Linked DNA regions of Macaca mulatta. The protein of the gene in region 1 purifies or fractionates together with the protein of each later gene. This does not show direct contact. Links are inferred from orthologs where the notes say so. Each region holds a gene or a part of one and is shown on either strand. Other genes may lie near its edges.

The links.
Region 2: the proteins of HNRNPA3 (region 1) and HNRNPH1 fractionate together in Homo sapiens (co-fractionation; 3 studies listed by BioGRID and IntAct, with this or other methods). This does not show direct contact. The link is inferred for Macaca mulatta from reciprocal best matches to the Homo sapiens genes HNRNPA3 and HNRNPH1.

The regions. Positions count from the first base shown.
Region 1 is NC_133417.1:82,126,128-82,133,014, forward strand, and holds the start of HNRNPA3 (heterogeneous nuclear ribonucleoprotein A3), read left to right. Parts: upstream 1-3,263; 5' UTR 3,264-3,320; coding exon 3,321-3,392; intron 3,393-5,765; coding exon 5,766-5,888; intron 5,889-5,977; coding exon 5,978-6,124; intron 6,125-6,205; coding exon 6,206-6,416; intron 6,417-6,736; coding exon 6,737-6,826; intron 6,827-6,887. UniProt on the Homo sapiens protein: Plays a role in cytoplasmic trafficking of RNA. Binds to the cis-acting response element, A2RE. May be involved in pre-mRNA splicing.
Region 2 is NC_133411.1:188,581,062-188,587,743, reverse strand, and holds the start of HNRNPH1 (heterogeneous nuclear ribonucleoprotein H), read left to right. Parts: upstream 1-2,591; 5' UTR 2,592-2,993; intron 2,994-3,637; exon of another isoform or gene 3,638-4,033; intron 4,034-4,150; 5' UTR 4,151-4,181; coding exon 4,182-4,278; intron 4,279-5,892; coding exon 5,893-6,048; intron 6,049-6,254; coding exon 6,255-6,398; intron 6,399-6,682. UniProt on the Homo sapiens protein: This protein is a component of the heterogeneous nuclear ribonucleoprotein (hnRNP) complexes which provide the substrate for the processing events that pre-mRNAs undergo before becoming functional, translatable mRNAs in the cytoplasm.

The DNA.
Region 1 (6,887 bases):
GTCCTAACTACTTGAGAGGCTAAGGCAGGAGAATTGCTTGAACCCAGGATGCAGAGGTTGCAGTGAGCAGAGATCGTGCCACTGCACTCCAGCCTGGGCAACAGAGCGAGACTCTGTAACAAAATTAGCTGGGCATGGTAGCATGGGTCTGTAATCTCAGTTACTTGGGTGGCTGAGGCACAAGAATTGTTTGAACTCAGGAGTGGTAGGTTGCAATGAGCTGAGATCATGCCACTGCACTCCAGCCCGGGTGACAGAGTGAGACTGTCTCAAGAAAAAAAAAAGTCTAGATCAGAAACTGCATAAAGCCACTTCAACCATAAAATCTAATATCAAAATATATTCACAGGAGTTGATCACTAAAAAACATGGGAAATTTTAATTTGAAAGTTTTTTGCAAATTTAATATTTAATATCATTCCTAATACTTTGTATTTTATCAAAATTAGATACTTAAAAGAAAACATTACCACCATTTAGATGCCTCCAAATATTTTCTATTTTACCCCAGTACGCTGCACAAAAATGATCATTTTCTGTATGTCATGATATAAAGGAGAGGGTCTGATACAGATTATAAAGTTTGCCTGCCACCCATCTAACCCTAGGACCCTCACTCCCTCCTCCCATCCTATACACTCCCTTTCTCATTTCAAAGAATCAGGGCTGCAAGTGTAGACCATTGCCAAGTTTCAAGTCTGTGCCCTACAGGGTCAAGGACTTTCGGAAAAGTGCTTTTTGTACCTGAGACACAACTGGACCTTAAGTTTATTTATTTATTTTTTGAGATGGAGTCACCCAGGCAGGAGTGCAATGGTGTGATCTCAGCTCACTGCAACCTCCGCTTCCCGGGTTCAAGCAATTCTCCAGTCTCCACGTCCAGAGTAGCTGGGACTACAGGCACCCACTACCACACCCGACCAATTCTGTATTTTAAGACGGGGTTTCACCATGTTGGCCAGGCTGGTCTCGAACTCCTGACCTCAGATGATCCACCCGCCTTGGCCTCCCAAAGTACTGGGATTACAGGCTTGAACCACTGCGCCCGGCCTTTGTTTTGGTGGGGGAGGGGGCGGAGTCTCGCTCTGTCACCCAGGCTGGAGTGCACTGGGCCAATTTCCGCTCACTGCAACCTCCGCCTTCTGAGTTCAAGTGATTCTCGTGCCACAGCCTCCCAAGCAGCTGGGATTACAGACGTGTGCCTCCATGCCCGGCTAACTTTTGTATTTTTTAAAAGTAGAGATGGTGTTTTACCATGTTGGCAAAGCTGATCTCAAACTCTCCACCTCAGGTGACCCGCCTGCCTCGGTCTACCAAAATCCTGGGATTACAGGTGTGAGCCATGGCGCCCAGCCAGAGCTTAAGTTTAGACAAAAGCATAAAAAATAACGTCTAAAAACAGCACACAGTCAGGATGAACAACAAATCTGGACCAATACAATGGGGAGGACAAAAAGATGTGAATAAATGGACTGACATTTCATGTTCCTGGAGAGAACTTAGTATCCCATCCCACATTGTTTCGCGATTTAACATTAACATTTATACAAAAGTTATTAATTAGAACAAAAGTTATTGATTAGAATTAACTTGATTAGAAAAACCTGGAAAAACATACCCTAAAGTGCAGCCAGGTGATCACTCTTCTTGATCACCTATGTAGTGTTTCATAGGGTACTCTGGTGTGAATACCACTTTCCAAAGGTCTTTCACTTTGCATTTTTCTTTGTATCCAGAATTGATAAAATTACCAGGACTATTTCACAGTAATCAGACTTAGAAAATCTTAACACTAACTAGACGCTAAGGCTATACATTCTTACAATGTCTCAAGTCTATTGCTGGCCATCAGGAGCACCTGGATACGCAGAATACGTGAAAGTTTGCGAAAAAGGAATCAAAGCAACAGGAGGAGTCTGGTTTGAACGGTTATTTCATCCAAATTACATTAAGGACTGCTAACTGGTTTCTGCCCCACAAAACTACCCTTTGTGCATGTTTCCAAACTATAACGCAGGTCCTCCTGGGGCAACGGTTAAATAAATTAACAAATTCTTAGACTTTGCGCTCCCTTTTCCAAACTCGAAGTCGACCACTCCCCATTTGTTAACAGAAACTTTTAATGTAACTGATTAGATTTCTAACCTTTCCTAGGGAGAACCAGTTCAATTCTAAAAGAGTTGGTCACATGGGTTGCTAAATTAAAATATAAAGCATTTTCTAACAGGGAAGGGAGGCTCGTCAATTGTGGTTATTTTTATCAGTAACTTTAAATATGGATTCATAGATTATCAATTTATGGCTGGCCTGGGTGTTAGAAGATGACCTAATCCCATCCCCCTTTTCATGTAAAAAACTGAAACTACAGCTCTGTGAAGTCAAATGATTTAAAATCATCTGACTAGGCCGAGAAAGGATTAGATCTCTAGAGCATTACGGTAACAATCTTTCGCAAACTGGTAGCATTATCTGGCGACCCTGCTTTTCTGAAAATCTTGTCAATTATTCAGTTCCTTAAATTCCGTCAGCTACAACAGATGCATCAGCTCTTTCCACACTAACTTGAAAGAAGCACATTAGAAAATAGTCCTGACTTGTTTCTTGAGATCAGTAACTAATGAACTGACCTCCACCAGTCCTGCCTCAGGTCGTTAATGGTAAAAATTCTGTATGTCGGCCGCGTTTTGAGGCCTGCCCAGGGTGCCTGTGATTCCTACACGTCGGAGCCGCAGGGATTTTCAGTACATGCCCTCAGGTGGGCGCCGCAGTCACAGACACTGGTCCCTGGCATTTGGAAACAGGATAGGTGGTCCGAAGGGCTAAGGGGTTTTACCTGCAACCTTTAAATTACAAGCAAGAAAAACGTAGGTTTTATTTCGGGCACAGGAATGGAATGAATTCGGAAAAGGAAAACTAGAGGCCTGCGGGGGAAGGAGGCACAAGCGCGAGAAGAAAAGGAAAGGCCTTTCTCTCTGGTGACGCGCGATCACGAGGCGTTTTCTCTACGTGGACGCTCACCATTGGCGGAGACCGAACTGACGTCCCGGAACTCGTCCGGACGCGAACGGCGCCAAGGCGGTCCTGCCCTGAAAGTCGGCGAGGCGCGCGCGCTCCCGCGGCACGCCGCGCCTCCGCCCTCCGCCCGCCAACCCGCTGGTCCAGTCGTTCTTCGCGCCCGCTTGGCTCCGCCCCCTTCCCAGCTCGCTCCTCCCCCACCAGACTGGCGGCGCGCGGAAAACGCGTCACGTGACGACTGGCCCCGCCTCTTCCTCTCGGTCCCATATTGAACTCGAGTTGGAAGAGGCGAGTCCGGTCTCAAAATGGAGGTAAAACCGCCGCCCGGTCGCCCCCAGCCCGACTCCGGCCGTCGCCGTCGCCGCCGGGGGGAGGAGGTATTAGGGGGAGAGCGGGGGGTTGGTGGGGAATGGCCGGCGTGGGGGGCCTGGTTCGGTGGGAGCGGGGAGGCCGGGTGAACCGGGGCGGCCGTCCCGCGCTCTTGCGTTGAGACGGGCGGTGGGAGGGGGAGGGGAGCGGGCCTTGGAGACCTCCTCGGGGCCCCTCACCCGCCTCGCCTTCATCTTCGGCTACACAGGCGGCCCCTTGGAGGCGCGGCGTGGTCGGGGAGGTCCCGGGAGGGAAGCCGGCCTGCCGGTTGCGCGGCCTCAGAAGCGAGGCCGAGGGCGGCATGGCGGGCCCCGGCGGGAGCGGTTGGGAAGAGGTTGTGGGGGAGGGGAAGGGACGAGCAGGCACATCCGGGCGAGCGAGCAGGCGGGCGGCGGCCACATTGACATTGATCCGCCGCCGTGTTACGAAATGGCGCATTGGCCCGCAATGGCCGCCGCCTCGCTCTGCCGCCGGGAAAGAGAGCCTGGGATTGGAGAGAAGAGGGCGGAGGCGGCCCGGCAGAAAATGCCGCAAATGGCCTCGAAGCACGAGAAGGTAGTGCTTTCGCTGAAGTTCGGCGGACGCTTTTCTGGGCATTTTACCGGTTCTCTCCGCGAGGAGAAGTCGATAATTGGCCTGTTCTTTTCTTCGCAGCATCCTGTTGGAAATATGAGATTGTTAAAAACTTTGCTGCTTTAGAATACTTCCTGTTTTTGCTGAAGTAGTTACATTACACTTCTCAAACCGCCATGTGGGCGAAGAACTTAGTATTTGAGAACTTGAGTGCAGATGTGAAAACCCAGCCAGCTTTTTACCGACCCCGGCCGTTGGGGAGGGTGGGTGGAGAAGAATTTGAGTGTAGATGTTAAGGAAGAATTTTAAAATGTTTTTTATCTTCATGTTTTCCCATTCTTTGAGTCGGCTCTGCTTGTAGTTTCCTGGAATTTTATTTAGAGGACTGCAACCAAAGTTGAAATTTTCACTTGTTTGCAGTACATTTAATGTGGATCCTAAATATTTTTGTCGATTTCGTTATTGTCAATCGAATACATTTATCCAAGACTTGAAAAGATGAGACTACGTGAATTAATGCTTTAGGCTCTTAACATTTTTTTCTAGCATGTGACAATCTTCACATTAAATGCCTTAACATCTCTACCTCTAGAAGACACTTGAAGACATGAGAATGTAAATGTGAGCCCCCTTATTTAAGGACTTCGGGTGAAGGAAACCTTCATGCATTAAATAACAGTTCATGCAATGTGTTAAGAAGTCTGACTGAAGTATAAAACAATTTCAAGACATCCTAATTCTTAAAAATCTCAATTTTTGTTTTGCTGTGCTCCGTTCTTATGGTCAGACAATACATACCATTCCTAATGTAAGTTCAACTTGGCAGTTTGTTGTGACTCTTAAAATTGAGTCATAAAATGAAGATTTTTGCAGCATATAACAAACATGGGTTATAGAAAGCTATTTGGTCGGCTTTTTTTTTTTCCTCTTAGTTTTTTTGGGAGATGCTGGTTTGGCTTAGGAATGCCTATTTTAAATTAATTTGCTTGAAAGCAGTGAGTTTCTGTAAGTTTGACATTTAGAACTTTTAGATTGTTCATCACAGTTTGGAGTTTAAAATTAAAAGCATGTTGGGATGTAGACTGAGAAGAGTTGAAGTGGGATAGATGCAACACTGCTTCTCCAGCAGTTTAGTGCCTTAGAAAATGACTTCTCATTAGCAACTTCTAAAGTAAAGGTTTTCAGACAATTGCAGCTTTTAAAAAATGAAGGGTTTTTAGATTCTGGATTTGTCTTGGATTTCAGTTTAGTTGAAGTGATGTTGGCATTTGAAAGGCTGGTTATAGGTTTCCTTGACAGAGTTAGCCCTTTTAACAGTTGAAGTCTGTATTTCTGGTCAAAGTTTTTGTTGTTTATTTTTTTGTTGTTGTTTTGTTTTTGTTGAGACGGAGTATCGCTCCTATCGCCCAGGCTGGAGTGTAATGACACGATCTTGGCTCACTGCATCCTCCGCCTCCTGGCTTCAAGCGATTCTCCTGCCTCAGCTTCCCGAGTAGCTGGGATTACTGACGCCTGCCACCGCGCCCAGCTAGTTTTTGTGTTTTTAGTAGAGATGAGGTTTCGCCATGTTGGCCAGGCTGGTCTTGAACTCCTGATCTCAGGTGATCCACCTGCCTCGGCCTCCCAACGTGTTGGGATTACAGGCATGAGCCACCGCGCCCAGTGTCTGGTCAGAGTTAACTGGACAAAGTGTTAATTGTCACAGGAATTTGATGTTGATTTTATTACTTACAGTACATTAAAGGCTCTTCGTGCATCTTAATCCATCTACTGTAAGATAATTTAAGAGTATTGGTTCTTTCTCTCAGGGCCATGATCCAAAGGAACCAGAGCAGTTGAGAAAACTGTTTATTGGTGGTCTGAGCTTTGAAACTACAGATGATAGTTTAAGAGAACATTTTGAGAAATGGGGCACACTCACAGATTGTGTGGTAAGTTACACTAAGGGAATAGAAGGGTTCTAAGTGTTGAAGAGAATCCGTGGAGATGTTTTCAACGTTGTAAAACTTTTATTTTGTAGGTAATGAGAGACCCCCAAACAAAACGTTCCAGGGGCTTTGGTTTTGTGACTTATTCTTGTGTTGAAGAGGTGGATGCAGCAATGTGTGCTCGACCACACAAGGTTGATGGGCGTGTAGTGGAACCAAAGAGAGCTGTTTCTAGAGAGGTATTTTAATAATATATTGTGTAATATATGAAATTGTTGTGAAAGTTTGTTTCTTGACTTAATTTATTACTTTATTTATAGGATTCTGTAAAGCCTGGTGCCCATCTAACAGTGAAGAAAATTTTTGTTGGTGGTATTAAAGAAGATACAGAAGAATATAATTTGAGAGACTACTTTGAAAAGTATGGCAAAATTGAAACCATAGAAGTTATGGAAGACAGGCAGAGTGGAAAAAAGAGAGGATTTGCTTTTGTAACTTTTGATGATCATGATACAGTTGATAAAATTGTTGGTAAGTAACAATTTATGGTAACTCGAATGAGAAAGTAGACGTGGGTTTTCTGTCTTGAACTAAATTTGCTAAACTGCTTGTAATTTTCTGTTGCGTGTAATGGCATTTATAGTGTATAGTCAGTTTTTATAGTGTCTATACCTGTGTAATCAGTATCCAGATCAAGAAATAAACATTAACATCTCAGAATGCTCCTTCATTCCCAGAGTAACTACCTGATTATGTCTTAATGGGTTACATAATGACAGAGGGTATCTCGTATATGTGCTTTTCCAAACATAAAATAACTTTCTGTTTTGTTTGATTAAAAAAAAATTTAGTTCAGAAATACCACACTATTAATGGGCATAATTGTGAAGTGAAAAAGGCCCTTTCTAAACAAGAGATGCAGTCTGCTGGATCACAGAGAGGTGAGTAGGACCATACACATGTACACAGTGGATGTGAGTCATGTTTGTAAGGTTCTTAAAA
Region 2 (6,682 bases), on another chromosome or scaffold:
GTATCCCAGCAATTTGGGAGGTTGAGGCACAAAAATTGCTTGAACCCAGGAGGTGGAAGTTGCAGTGAGCCGAGATCACATACCTGCACTCCAACCTGAGTGACAAAGTGAGATCCTGTCTTAAAAAAAAAAAAGCAATCACAAATCGGGGCCGAGCATCATGGCTCACATGTAGAATAATTCCAGTGCTTTGAGAGGCCAAGGTGAGAGAATTGCTTGACGCCAGGAATTCAAGACTAGCCTGGGCAACATAGTGAGACCCGCATCACCACAAAACAATACAAACAATTAGTCAGGCCTGGTTGAAAGTGCCTGTAGCCCTAGCTACTCAGGAGGCTGAGTGTGGAGGATGGCTTGAGCCTAGGAGTTCAAGGCTGCAGTGAGCTATGATTGTGTCACGGCACAGAACAAGACATTGTCTGTAAAACAAACAAAAAATACCACCACAAAACCACAAAAATAATTAAAAGGTAGGCAAACTGAGAAGAATGTTTGGGGCAACTATCCTAAGGGCTAACAGCCTTAACAAAGAGCTCTGTAAACTATAAGAAGTGTACCAAGACATAAAGACCACTGAGGCAAGATGGTGAATTTTTTTGAGATGGAGTCTTGCTCTGTGGCCCAGGCTGGAGTGCAGTGGTACAATCTCTGCTCACTCCAACCTCCACCTCCCAGGTTCAAGTGAGTCTCCTGCCTCAGCCTCCTGAGTAGCTGGGATTACACGCGCCGCCACCACACCCGGCTACGTTTTGTATTTTTAGTAGAAAGGGGGTTTCACCATGTTGGTCAGGCTGGTCTCGAACTCCTGACCTCGTGATCCACCGGCCTTGGCCTCCCAAAGTGGTGGGATTACAGGCATGAGCCACCTCGCCTGGGCTGATGATGAACTTTTTATTTTAAAAAACCTTTGGCTGAGCGTGGTGGCTCATGCATGTAATCTCAGTACTTTGGGAGGCCGAGGCAGGCAGGTCACTTAAGGTCAGGAGTTCCAGACCAGCCTGGCCAACGTGGCAAAACCCCATCTCAACTAAAAATTAAAAAAAAGTAGGTGTGGTGGCACACACCTGTAATCCCTTTAGACTTGGGAAGCTGAGGCACGAGAATTCCTTGAACCTGGAAGGCAGAGGGTGCAGCGAGCCGAGATTGCACCACTGTACTCCAGCCTGGGTGACAGAGTGAGACTGTCTCAAAAACAAAAGCAAACAAAAAAACCTTCTTTCATTGCCAGACATGGTGGCTCATACCTGTAATCCCAGCACTTTCTCTGGGCAGCTGAGGTGGGATGACTCCTTGAGTCCAGGAATTCAAGACCAGCTTGGGCAACAAAATGAGACCCCATTGCTACAAAAAGAAAAATAAAAAAGTTATCTGAGCAAGGTGGCACATGCCTGTGGTCCTACCTACTCAGGAGGTTGAGGCAGGAGGATTGTTTGAGCCCAGGAGGTAGAGGCTGTAGTGAGCCATGTTTGCACCACTGCACTCCAGCCTGGGTGACAGTGAGGCCGTTTCTCAAAAATAAATAAATAATAAATAAAAAATAAATATTTAAAAACCTTGTTTTAATATAAGTTGGACAATTTATATATAAGAGCATTGGCTATAAATGTATGAAATTTATTCTACCTCACTATTATTCTTTTTTTTTTTGAGATGGAGTTTCGCTCTTGTTGCCCAGGCTGGAGTGCAATGGCATGATCTCAGCTGACTGCAACCGCTGCCTACTGGGTTTAAGCAATTCTCCTGCCTCAGTCTCTCCAAGTGGTTGGGATTACATGTATATGCCACCATGTCTGGCTAATATTTTTTTTTTTTTTGAGAGGGAGTCTTTCTCTGTTGCCCAGGCTGGAGGACAGTGGTGTGATCTCAGCTCACTGCTTCCTCTGCCTCCTGGGTTCAGGTGATTCTCCTGCTTCAGCCTCCAGAGTAGCTGGGATTACAGGCGTGCGCCACCATGCCCAGCTAATTTTTGTATCTTTAGTAGAGATGGTGTTTCACCATGTTGGCCAAGTTGGTCTCAAACTCCTGACCTCAAGTGACCTGCCTGCCTCGGCCTCCCAAAGTGCTGGTATTAGAGGCGTGAACCACCGCACCTGGCCAGAGTCTCTCTTCTTGATTACCTCAGCCAAAGTGTTTTCTGAAATGGTACCACAGATATGTGCTTCCAGTTCCGTTTGTAGTAGAGGGCATGGCATGTACCGTCATTCACCCTGCCTGCTCCATCTGCATCCCCCTCACATCCAGCAAGTTTTCCTTTGCATAGGGCTTATTGCTCCCCTGCTGATCACCTGCCAAAGCCTTCTCTCGGAGTTAACATCCTTGCCAAGGCCTAAGTGGCTTTTGAAGATCAGGCCCTGCTTAGCTCTGGGCTCCCGTCTTTCTTTTGATGTCCTCTCTACTTTTCTCAAACCTGTCAAAACTGGATTCGGACTCTGTGGCCCTGGGGTTGGAAACATGCTTCGTCTGCATCTTCCCAGGGTGGCACTTAGGCCTGCACTAGCTAAGGTAGCCCTGCGGCAAGGTCCAACCCTGCCTTATTGTTAATTTGTTTATTGTCTGTGTCCACTAGAGCTGGGGTGAGGAGGGCAGCCAGCTCAGACCTGGGGAGGCCTGGGAGGCTACGGCATCTTCGGTGTTGGGCAGTGCTGTTAGAAACCACGAACATTACTCATCTGGCAGCATGTGTGCACATGGGGTGAGCCGGGGGTCTCCTCGAATGCGGCGTCTACGCCCGGGGATTGGACGCACTGTTACCGATTCTGTCCTGGGAGATTCAGCGGTAACCTACCGGGCAGAGGCCGGCACGCACCCGTGGAGAAGCCCGCGCTCGCGATTCCTCCTCGTGCCAGGGCCCCAGGGCACGGAAGGCCCACCGACCGTGAGGCGGGTCAAGGGGTACACAGGGTGCGAGTTCGTTAGGCAAAAGCTGGGTACAGGCGCGAGCCACAGGCACGGGAACCTCGCGCCGACCGGGGCCCTAGGCCCGACGACCGCAGGTAAGGGGAAGTGGAGGCACACATGGCTGGGACGTGCCCCAGGCACCATCCGGGTGGCTTCGGGCGCGGGACGTCCGCAGCCCCGCAGCTCCCAGGACGCTCGACCATCTGCGGCTGATCAGCTTCGGCCGGTTTGGGGATAAAGGGGAGACAGGCGGCGCGGGGAGTGGGAACGCCTGAAGGCCGCGCCTCTCCTTTCAGGTCGGCCAGGAGCGCACCGGTAAGAGCCAGGGGGTAAGGGGTAGAAAGACGCCCACCTCTTCAACCCAGAGCTCGGGACTCCTATACAGTCCCATAGGGAACAGGCGGCCGCCATTCCCCTCCCCCACGCTGGCGGGTAAGGCTAGAGAACGGTTTCAAGGAAGACGCATGCGCATGAAACAATTATAAACCGCTAAGACTCCCAAGTTCAATATTCGCGGGAAGGCGCATGCGCAATAAAAAGCCCGGCGGGTTTATGGGTGGGGGTGCTGCGCCCAAATCCCAAGCGTGTAATAATCCGCCGGCGGACGGTGGGCTGGCTCTTGAAACTACGCATGCGCCAGAGCTCTTTGTGACGCAACGGGGCGGTGCGGGCAGCTGGCTGCGCGTGCGCAGAACTCGCACAAAGGGCCTTATTTAGGTTGCGCAGGCGCCCGCTGGCCATTTCGTCTTAGCCACGCAGAAGTCGGGTTTCTGGGTGAGTCTCGGTGGGTCCTCGCTTGCAGTTCACCGACCACCGTGGGCGCCGTTTTTGCGAGGATTGGTTGTCCTCATACCTCTGGGAGGGCCACGGGGACCTTGGCGAGCTGCGGGCTGCCATCGAGAGCCGCGAGTGGTTCGCTGAATGTCGGCACCGCAGCTGAGGCCTGCAGGCCGCGCCGACTCTATTGTGTGAGAAGTCGGAGGAGGCGGAGCGGAAGCGGCCGCCGCCATTTCCTTTCCTCCACGCTGGCTCGGCCCGGGCCCCCACGGTTCGGGGCGCCGACGGTTGCTGCTCAGAACAGCTTTTGGGGGTCCGGCCGCCGGACGAGGAGGTGTTGGGTATTGGAGCCGCCGGGGTGGGTGCATCCCCCCGGTTTTTGCTTGGTGGGGGGGCCGGTGCGGGCCCGGGGGCGCCTCGGAGGCGGAGGACAGCTTAATTGGCGCTCTCAGGTCTGGTCCTCCCCGCCTTGCAGTTTGTTTCGACGCCGGACCGCGTAAGAGACGATGATGTTGGGCACCGAAGGCGGAGAGGGATTCGTGGTGAAGGTCCGGGGCTTGCCGTGGTCTTGCTCGGCCGATGAAGTGCAGAGGTTTTTTTCTGGTGAGTTAGAACTAGGACGCGGGAGTTCGAGTTCGAGGCCGGGGCGGGCGGGCTGGCGGGCAGCCGGGCTGGGGCGGGGCGGGGCGGCGGGACCCGGGGCGCCCCCTGGCGAGGCGCGGGCGACTGCACTCACCGCCGTGTGGCTCGCGCCCGGCCGGCCGCGGTTACGCAATGGAATTTTCGAAAGCCCCGCCCGTCCTCCTGGCCCTGCGGGGGGAGTGCGGCAGATCTGGCAGACCCTTTGATTTCTTTACTACCTTTGAACACCAACTTTTCTTTTATGGATGTCGTTTTTCTTTTTCCTTTGTGTTGGGAGTCTCTGTCACCCAGGCTGGAGTGCAGTGGCGCGATCTCGGCTCACTGCAGCCCCCGCCTCCTGGGTTCAAGCGAGTCTCCTGCCTCAGTCTCCCGAGGAGCTGGGACTAGAGGCGCGCACCACCACGCCCGGCTAATTTTTGTTTTTTTAGTAGAGACGGGGTTTCACCATTTTGGCCAGGCTGGTCTCGAACCTCTGGACCTCAAGTGATCAGCCCATCTCGGTTTCCCAAAATGCTGGGATTACAGGCGTGAGCCACCGCGCCTGGCTCCGGTGTCTTTTTGCGAAAAGATGAATTGGCATAGGTGGGTTTCCTCCTCAATCTCGAGAAAATTGCCGAGTAATTAGACCAATAATAGTAATGTTTTTCAGTATCTTGAAGTGTAATCTCTTGTTTCCAGTTCTGGTGTTTCCTTGAAAAGGAGCATTCTTCGGAAAGTTAAAATGTCACGTCTTAATTTCAGTTTTCCTAATCAAGATTTGGTAATTGAAGAGTGTGTGCTCATCTAGTTCTTAATTTGGCTGACTATACAATTGAAAACACTGAAACCCAGGGAAGTGTTTTTGCAGTCCCTAGGTTTCCTGAATATTTTCTATCAGAATGTCCTTGTTCCCATTATTAGACTGGGAAAAATTAGACTGATAAAATTCTACTTGTATGAAATTGACAGCTTTTGGCAAGACGTTTGTAGTGTTGACTTACTATCTGAATTTAGCATTGGTAACGGAAAACGACCTGTAAAACAAGAACCAAGTACACTGGAAGCCACCTTGCAGGGGGCAACGCTGGGTTTGGCTTCAGCTGTGCAACTTGGAGCATTTTAGCTTGGTAACACTGATCCCCTTTCAGGTGAGTATTGGGCCTGTAATTTGGATTTGAATGAGAAACCGTAATGTGGCTGCTGGTAAGGTAAAACTTGACAAACGCGCCAGACCAGACCAAAGCAACTCGCAACGAAGTAGGTTTGCCATAAAGTCACAAAGTCCAGGCTTGATAATGTTCTGAGAAATTGATAAAAGATGTGTGATGTGGACATAAGTAGCAGGGACTTAAGAGAGAAATTCATTCTGAAACTGCTTTGAATATTGTATGTTGTTGATGGGTTGGAAATACATCACCTTGGGAATGAGGTTTTTTTTTTTTTATTGGAGTTCCAGGAGTTGGTAATACCATCATTATATGCAGGCTTCACAAGTTACGTAATTTGTAGTGGGGACACGGAATAGACATTTAATCTGTGTCACCCAGAGGTGGTTTTAGGTTTTAAATTCCGTATTAACGGTTGTTTTCTTTCCAGACTGCAAAATTCAAAATGGGGCTCAAGGTATTCGTTTCATCTACACCAGAGAAGGCAGACCAAGTGGCGAGGCTTTTGTTGAACTTGAATCAGAAGATGAAGTCAAATTGGCCCTGAAAAAAGACAGAGAAACTATGGGACACAGATATGTTGAAGGTTTGATTTACATTGCCCTAGTTACAGTAAATAAAGCATTAAACAATAGAGGTCTTACCCCTTCTGAATTTTAGGTATTTGACTGCATGGAAATGGTCATCTAAGGGAGTTTGTGGCAGCTCTTCCTAGCTTATCTAAAGACCCAGGAAGTCTGAACTTTGTTACCTAATTTTCCAAAAGTGACTAATTCTAAGCACCTCTTTCAGTATTCAAGTCAAACAACGTTGAAATGGATTGGGTGTTGAAGCATACTGGTCCAAATAGTCCTGACACGGCCAATGATGGCTTTGTACGGCTTAGAGGACTTCCCTTTGGATGTAGCAAGGAAGAAATTGTTCAGTTCTTCTCAGGTATGTAGTCCTGTTTGTTGATGAGCAGTGAGTTTTGGCTAGCTTCTGCAAGGTGATTTAATAGACCTTAAAGTTGAGTAGCTTAGGTATTTCAATAGGTTGTGTAAATTGCCAATGAATTAATGTTTTCTTCCTAGAGACCTTCAAATAATTTAAGCCCATCTTAAAGGTGGAAATGAAGTACTTCCAAAATGTTAACTTTGCCTATATTTAGTATTATAGTTCAGAGTAGATCTTTCATTGAGGATTGCCCTCAACAGCTTAACTGCTTTTCCTCACATTGG